Mus musculus: one gene and its partner. The protein of the gene in region 1 binds, or shares a complex with, the protein of each later gene. Links are inferred from orthologs where the notes say so. Each region holds a gene or a part of one and is shown on either strand. Other genes may lie near its edges.

What was found. Proteins that work in one complex are often made in the same cells at the same time.
Region 2: the proteins of Ush1c (region 1) and Myo7a are in contact, whole or in part, in a crystal structure (PDB 5MV9), measured with the Homo sapiens proteins. The link is inferred for Mus musculus from reciprocal best matches to the Homo sapiens genes USH1C and MYO7A. Residues at the interface, in NP_001284693.1 of Homo sapiens: Glu450, Pro456, Ile457, Val461, Val462, Ser463, Tyr466, Glu467, Lys479, Gly480, Pro522, Tyr526, Asp527, Asp528, Glu529, Leu530, Thr531, Phe532, Phe533; in NP_000251.3 of Homo sapiens: Phe1946, Val1953, Ala1976, Lys1995, Lys1996, Trp1998, Gln2017, Pro2020, Lys2021, Arg2024, Tyr2026, Ser2112, Ala2113, Phe2114, Phe2115, Glu2116, Val2117, Lys2118, Ile2128, Ser2161, Gly2163, Asn2164, Thr2165, Tyr2166, His2168, Leu2181, Glu2183, Thr2184, Ser2185, Leu2186.

Annotation. Positions count from the first base shown.
Region 1 is NC_000073.6:46,210,888-46,214,537, forward strand, and holds part of Ush1c (harmonin), read right to left. Parts: intron 425-3,650; coding exon 272-424; intron 1-271. UniProt on the Homo sapiens protein: Anchoring/scaffolding protein that is a part of the functional network formed by USH1C, USH1G, CDH23 and MYO7A that mediates mechanotransduction in cochlear hair cells. Required for normal development and maintenance of cochlear hair cell bundles.
Region 2 is NC_000073.6:98,074,454-98,078,103, forward strand, and holds part of Myo7a (unconventional myosin-VIIa), read right to left. Parts: intron 3,386-3,650; coding exon 3,176-3,385; intron 2,741-3,175; coding exon 2,537-2,740; intron 2,316-2,536; coding exon 2,139-2,315; intron 1,715-2,138; coding exon 1,625-1,714; intron 682-1,624; coding exon 554-681; intron 1-553. UniProt on the Homo sapiens protein: Myosins are actin-based motor molecules with ATPase activity. Unconventional myosins serve in intracellular movements. Their highly divergent tails bind to membranous compartments, which are then moved relative to actin filaments.

The DNA.
Region 1 (3,650 bases):
CCTTGCCATAGAGTTATACCTTAGTAGGGTAGAGTAAAAGGGGGGGCAGGATTCATGTATCAGTGACTAACCTGAGACCCAGTCAGGGCAAGGAGGCTAGCCTCAGACCCAGCCCCTAAACCAGGAGACTAGTGTTAGTCTCAAGCATGCACTTAAGCTAGAGTTGGCCTTAGATGATCCTGGGGTGGGGGGCAGCCTCACTCTCTGGACTCCATCTGGCCCTTGGAGGTATGCTGGGGGAGTGAGCTGTGTCCCGGGACAGTGCACACACCTCCTGGGCCAGCCGGTTGATCTTGAGCTGCTTCTCCTTCTCCAGCATCTCTTCCTTCTCTTTGTAGAGCTTTTGTTCAAACTCGAGTTCCTTCTTGTTCTTCCTCAGGTCCTGCAGGCTATCGTACTTGGCTTTCTTCTTCTCTTTTGCTTTCTGAGCAGATGGAGCATTGTGCGTGTGGTGAGGGTCACTGTTTAGGTGGCATTGGGACTAACACAGGACAGCAAACAGGGCATGCAGTTCTGACAAGACAAGGCTGCCAGCCGCAGTGAGCCCCCCTCCCAGCTCTGTCCTACCACAGTGGGCGTCAGACTCAGGCTGAGGTCAGGCAGGCCATGGATGCCCATTGGAGAGTGGGAGACATACTCCCTCGTCAGCCAGACCTGGCTTACTAGCTCACTGACTAGCTGTGTGACCTTTTGGCTAAGTTCTGTAACCTAGCTAAGCCTGGACTCCCCACATCTCTAAAGTGGGAGAAATAGCTGATCCAGGTTTCCAGTTAGTGCCCATGAAACACCATGAAAGGGCTTTGGAGATCTCTAAGTTCTTTCTAATAAAAGGCATTGCATTTACTTCCTAGGACCTGGGTGCTTGCCTTCCCTGGCAGCAAGGGGTGGGGGAATGGTTCCTGTTCAGATGCCAGAGATGCATCCTGGGAGGTTCCAGAGAGTCTGAGTGAGCTGGTTAACCTGATGTGCAGAGGTCACCTGTCATGGTCTATACGTGGGGTTTTAAGCCAAGCACACTGGATGCTCTACACTTCATCACTTAGAGAGTCCAGAGCCAGGGTTCCCTCTAAACTGGGGAATTACCTGAAAACTCTGGGACTGGGAGATGCAAGGTCAGGCTAAAGTCAAAGCTTAGAGAGGTGAAGTCCCTTCCACAAAGTCAGACATCTAGGAAGTGATGCAGGCTCAGACCTGCATCCTCCAGGTCTCAGGTTTCTACTGAGCTCAGATAATCAGGGGAGAAAGGAACACAGCAGATGGGAGATCACTCCCATCATACAGCAGGGAGCACAGAGCCAGCATTCAGAAGAGGATGCAGAGAAAGTCAACACTCAGGGTGAGTTCCGGAATAATTGCATCTCTACCTACCAAGGTTTCCTGCTTTGCTGCTCTGAATCAGCTTAGAGTCCAAGGCCTGGAGTGAGGAACTGAACTTCCAGCAATGGATGCAAAACTTTCATGTCAACCTAGGGTAGTAAGTGTCTACAGACCTTTGATGCACTCATCTTGACTCAACTGAAGACAACCTTATCTCCAATAATGGCTAATATGCTTTGGAAATGCTGGGTTTTGGCACCCATGTCTAGAGTGGCCCACAACATCTCAAAGAGGAGATTCTCCTTGCTTCAATTCTGCTCAGTTCATGGCCTACCCTGCTCACCAGGCCCCTAGCTCAGCTCAGGGTCAAATGCTCACACCATGCTGTAGGTTCAGAGGCCAATCCTCAAGAGGAACCAGAAAGGGTCTACCTAGTGGCAGCCAGCTTAAATAATGTCATGGCACCCTCAGGGGCCACCGAGATAAGAATGGCCATTCTATTGATTAGAAAACAAAACCAAACCTACAATAATGTCTAGATTTCACAGCCAGAGTGAGCTCCTGAGAAGGGCAGTGACAGATCCTGTGTCACCCTCAGTAAAGGGTATCTGTTGACAGATGGAGATGGGCAAACTGCCACAGAGCACTGCCCGTGAGCAACTGTACCCCCTGTACAGACAACTTAGTGGCCCGTGAATCTGCCTTCCCTGCCAGGCTAAGAGTTCCTGTATATCTGGTTAAGCATGCTACCATGCACAAGTTTTTCTGTGGATTCTGGGATCTGAACTCAGCTCCTTACACTTGGGAGGCAAGCACTTTACCCACTGAGCCATCTCCTCAGCCTCAGCTCACTAACCATGAATCCTCCATAAACATGAATTGGTGGCATTGAAGTGAGAACACTTACTTCCAGGACAGGGCTAGGAGGCATGAAATCTCTCTTTTTGTGTAAAGGGTTTGACTACGGGTGCTCACAGCTGTGGATACACCTTTGTATTCCTTAGCTCCAGCTACCGAGAAACACGCCATGTTCAGCGGCTCTGGACAGAGTGAGGATGGGTTTTCGGAGCTGGTGTGAGGGATGAGCTTGTGTTGTCTTATTGATCGTCAGTTATATTCATAGGTTTCCATCGAGGCTGAGAGGAGAAATTCTATCGACCGACCAACAACTGTTCTCCTTGGGAAGTGAGAGCAGAAACCAAAATAACAGCTGTTTCCATCATGACAATGAAACCGATAACGAGGACTTTAGCCTGACCCCATCACTAAGAGCAACTTCCAAGGAATGGGGTTTGTGTGTATAGAGCATTCCAGCTCATTTGCATTTCCATAGTTAATTATGTCTGGAGAAAACATGCCCTATCCGTTTGTACTAATTATTTTTCCAGTAAAATCTCTCTCTCTCTCTCTGTGTGCATACACATGTGATATATATATATATGTATATATATATATATAATATATATATATACACACACACATATATATGTATGTATATATATATGTACATATATATACATACATACATATATATCACATGTCCAAGTACTGGTGTATGGAATATGTTGTTTCCTTTAGCCAAGGTCTAATAGAGACTATAATGGGAAGAATTAGCAGTCTAACTCCATGAGATTCCCCCTCAGAGTCCAGCCTCTAGCCTGAAGCTAGGATAGCTACAAACATAGCCCAATACAAAACCATAAACTTACTTAAAACAATATATTATTTTTGAAAGGTGTTGTAACTCAATTGTATGGGAACTTTGTAGATGTCAGTGCCATGTCACAATGTCAAAAGGTTGGACATTACTTCAAGCCATGGACTCAGCTTGTGACACAGAGGCCACAGTCCTAGGAGACCACACACTCTCTGAGATCAAAACAGGGTAAGAAGGGGTCCTTCGGGCACTGTAGCCTAAGCCTGCTCACTGCTGTGGAATGCTGCAATCCCAGGCACATGTGTGTCAGGAATCCCGCTGCTACTGTGTAAGTGGCGTGTGGTGGGCAGTATCCCAAGCTCATGCTGCTGCCACAGCCTTGCTTCCCAGGGCCCTTGCTAGAAAGAGCTGAGCTGGGTCAATGAGTTCACTCAGATTTATGCCGGCAGCCTGATTTCTAAATACCAAGCCATCTCGAATGTCTAACATGCAGTACAGATATTAACCGTGGCATTTTCACAATCAAATACTGATGAAATTTAGTAAGACAAAAGATGAGTATTTTATGGGGCCTGGAGATAGTATAATGAGATTTAGAGAGAAAATTAAAGGTCTTAGGGAATGGAAAGATACATAATCCTAGCCCTGGGCAGAGATAGGTCTAGGCCATAGATGG
Region 2 (3,650 bases), about 52 Mb from region 1:
CTTGGGACCCCAAGTCTTTACCTATGGTCATATAAGCCAGCTCCCTGAGAAGCTCAGGTCCCCACATCTGGCTGGGTTAACTATCTAATTGTATAGGTGACTCTAGTCTTCCCACCAACTCGCCACTAGTAGAGGTCTTTCCTGACCCAGGATGGAAATAATAGATTCTCTAGGCATAGAGTAACCTTGCCATTGGCCTGGGCCAGCTGCACTGAACATGAGCCAGCGGCAGTGGGTTTAAATCCGACCGCTCAGGTGGGGCCATGATAACCACTAGCTACAGGTTACAGTCTGCTCTCTCCATTCACTGTCTCAAAGTTCTGCCTCCCCTCAGATCTCAGGTGTGGGTGCTATTCTTATTCCACATTTCCAGGTAAGGCATAGAGGGATGAAGGAGATAGGTTAGGGTCATATGACTAGCCAGCAACAGAGCTAGCACGGGCCTTTTGCTTAATCTGTGGCTAAAGTGGAGCCATTAGCAGCTGCCTGGAGACCACCAGCCTCTGCCTAGAGAAGCCCAGACACAGCATCCCACTGCCCCTCGGGTACTGACCGCAGCGCAGGCCGCAGGATGCCGTTGCCGATGATGAAGTGCAGCTTCTCTAGATTTGAGGTGGGCCGATCCTCCAGCATGCTGTTGCCCTGTACCGTGGATTCCCCATCGTTCAGCCTCTTGGTCACCTAGGACACGGACACAGGCTTAAGCCAAACAGGTGGGGCTTGGGTGCTGCACCTGCTAGGCTTCCCACGGGGAGCAGATAGCATCATAGATGGGGTGCTGTCCCTGCCAGCCACTGCAGAGAGCAAATGAATGCATGGATGACCCCTGAGCTTGTCATTACTCCATCCTTAAAGACTAATAACTAGACCACATGGCTGGGAGCACCAGTCTGATGCTACCAGCTTGGTCTCTGTACCTCAGTCCCACCCAAGGGAAAGCCTTTCAGCCATGATGTGTTCCATCCCTGCCTCTGATTGAGGCCAGCATCTCACACCTACGGCACCAAAGTACAGCCTGATTCACAACCACCTAATTATCAAGGCCCTGGCCCTGATATGACATGGCCACCCTCAGTTCTCAGTAGATGTGTGTCTCTCTCCTGGCCCCACGCAGCCACAGAAGCAGCCCCGCATTGCACTCAAATGCAGCAAGAGACCCTCCATCATAGACAGAAAGGGCCATGCAAGGGCCTCCTGCACCTGAACCCATGCCTGTTTGTCCCAGCCCCCACCAGCCTACACAGCCCTGTGTGCAAGGCCTTGGCAGTCTTAGAAGGTAAGAGATGGATTGATGGGTGGTGGTACCAGTATTCAAAAAGACTACAGAGAAGTCTGCTCCCAGGTCAAGAGGTCCTAGGATGAAATGCATGGTATATGTATCAGCCAGAAGTATTCTCCTTTTCACGTGTGTACTTGGCCCCGCCCCATTCTTTCTCCCACCCTGGGAAGCCCCCACCCTTAGCATTTTCATACACTTCTGTCTGGTGGTTGCTCCAGTGCTGTGCTATACAGAAGAGAGAGGCATCATCCAGTTCTCCTGCTCCCATTTCCAGGGCCCCCGACTCAGCTGTGCTGCAGTTTGGCTGCCTAAGGAAGCCCTCCAGGGCCCAGGCTCTGTTCTTACCTCTTCTGTGAGTTTGGACTTTTTCTTCAGTGTCAAGTGTACCAACTTGTGTCTCACACTGGTCTTCTTCTGCCCCTCAGGGAGCTGGGTCTATGTAACAGATGCAGGGATGAGACCTCTGGACAGTGGGGTTATAGAGTGTCTGTGTGCGTGTGTAATTTCCACACAGAGGCTCACAAGGTGCAAGCCACGAAGCCACCCTCTACCCTTGCCCCTGCTGAGACTCAGAAAATCATAGTTACTGCCGGAGGTCTCCCAGTGAGGTGTCCCTAGAGGTGGCTCCCACTGCAAAGTCTGTCTGGTCTGCAGTGTAGCCCCTCAGTTATAATGAGAACTTTACAGTTGGCAATGGCTCGCACATTATTCCCACGAGTAGACAGAGAATGGCAGGGGATTGGGGCAGGGATGAGGCAGAGACAGCTAGACAGCTTTCTGCTGGTTACCTGAGCCTGGCGTGCTGACACCATCCCCACTAGCCCAAGACAGTTATCAGTTGGGGGCCCTGTGGCCTCACCTCGCCCTCGCCCTGCAAGGCCTGCAGCTCCCTCTTATATGTCTTCTTGCCTAGGGTCTCGTAGATCTTAGTCATCACTGGGATCTTCTCACTGCCGTCGCTCATGGCTGTGTGGTACTTGGGCTCTGGGAGGTCCCCCATGAACCGGAGGATGGTGATCCAGACAGCCAGCGCCGCCTGAGGATGGAGCACACATGTAAGAAAGCCAGGGAGGGCGGTGGAAGTGGCTCAAGCCACAGAGAGAGCCTTGGAGAGGAAGCTGGAGAGACAGCCACCTGCAGATGTGGTCTGACCCTAGGTTGGGGGCTGAACCAAAGCCCGACCTTGACTTGACAAGAGCAGCACCCACTACCCCAGCCCGGTCCTGTGAGCCATGACCCAGCCACAGGCCGCCTCACCAGCTGGTCACCCTCATCGTCGTGGTAGAGCAGCGGCTGCTTGAGAGGCCTCCGGGTGTAGGAGTGTGTGGTTGTGCCCTGGAAGTAGGTGGCAGCAAACTTGGCGAATTTGTACTCAGAAAGGTCCTCCTCGTCTTCATCAGGCAGGGGCAGGGCAGCGTCAACATCCTCTTCCACCATCTCCCTCCGTCCGCGCTCTAGGTCCTGATGGACACAGAGGGGGTGTGTCTTAACCGTTAGGCTGGGCCCTGTAGCCCGCAGGCCCAGAACAGAAGCAGCGCTGGCTGCTGTCCTCTCTGCTCCCCCCCCCCCGCCCCCTCTCTCTCATCTCTCTCATCCTCTGCAGAGCCGGCCCCTCCTCCCAGAAGGTAAGGCCTCTGCTGCTTCCCTCCACTGTCCAAACAGAGCCCAGCACATAGGGGATCCTCAAGGACATTGGATAAAAGTTTGAGAATGGCTTCAGAGAGGGATAGCGGGTGGACCAAGGTCACGTGGCAGGCAGAGACTGGATGGGGTCTGAGACTCATAGTCCTTCACCCAGTCAGTCACCACTGCCTTCTGTATCAGGACAAAGGATGTGACAGGAGACATAGAAGACTCTGGGGTGCCTCAGGAAGTCCTGCCCCAAAGTCCTGATACCTCAAAGCCACTAGGCGCCTGGCCTTCCTGGCCTGGCAGGCTGCCTGAAGTCCCCAGGAAGCCAAACATCTTGTCCACCATATCTGAGTGGTTGATGGGTTCGTGGCGGGCCTTCTCCATCTGCTCCAGCAGTTCCTTCTTCCTCCGAGCCTCCTCCTTCTCCTTCAGTTCCCGCTCCGCATCCTCGCGGGCTAGCTGAGCCAGGCGCTCCTGAGGTTGGGGGGACGCAGAGTAAGTAAGTCAGTAAGTCAGCACTGAGCAACATAGCTTCCGAGAACAGCTGTCTTCAGGGAGCCCAGGAGCAACCAGCAACAGCGAAAACAGCAGCAGCCCCACTAGGGCTCTGACACAGGGGTGAGCTGACTGTCCTCGTAGCCCCCATCTGGGACAGACAGATGTCCAGCATCCCTGGACCACAGGAGGACACCTCCTCTAGTACTCTCTTTTCCCTGCCCACCCCTGCCTCCATACCCTC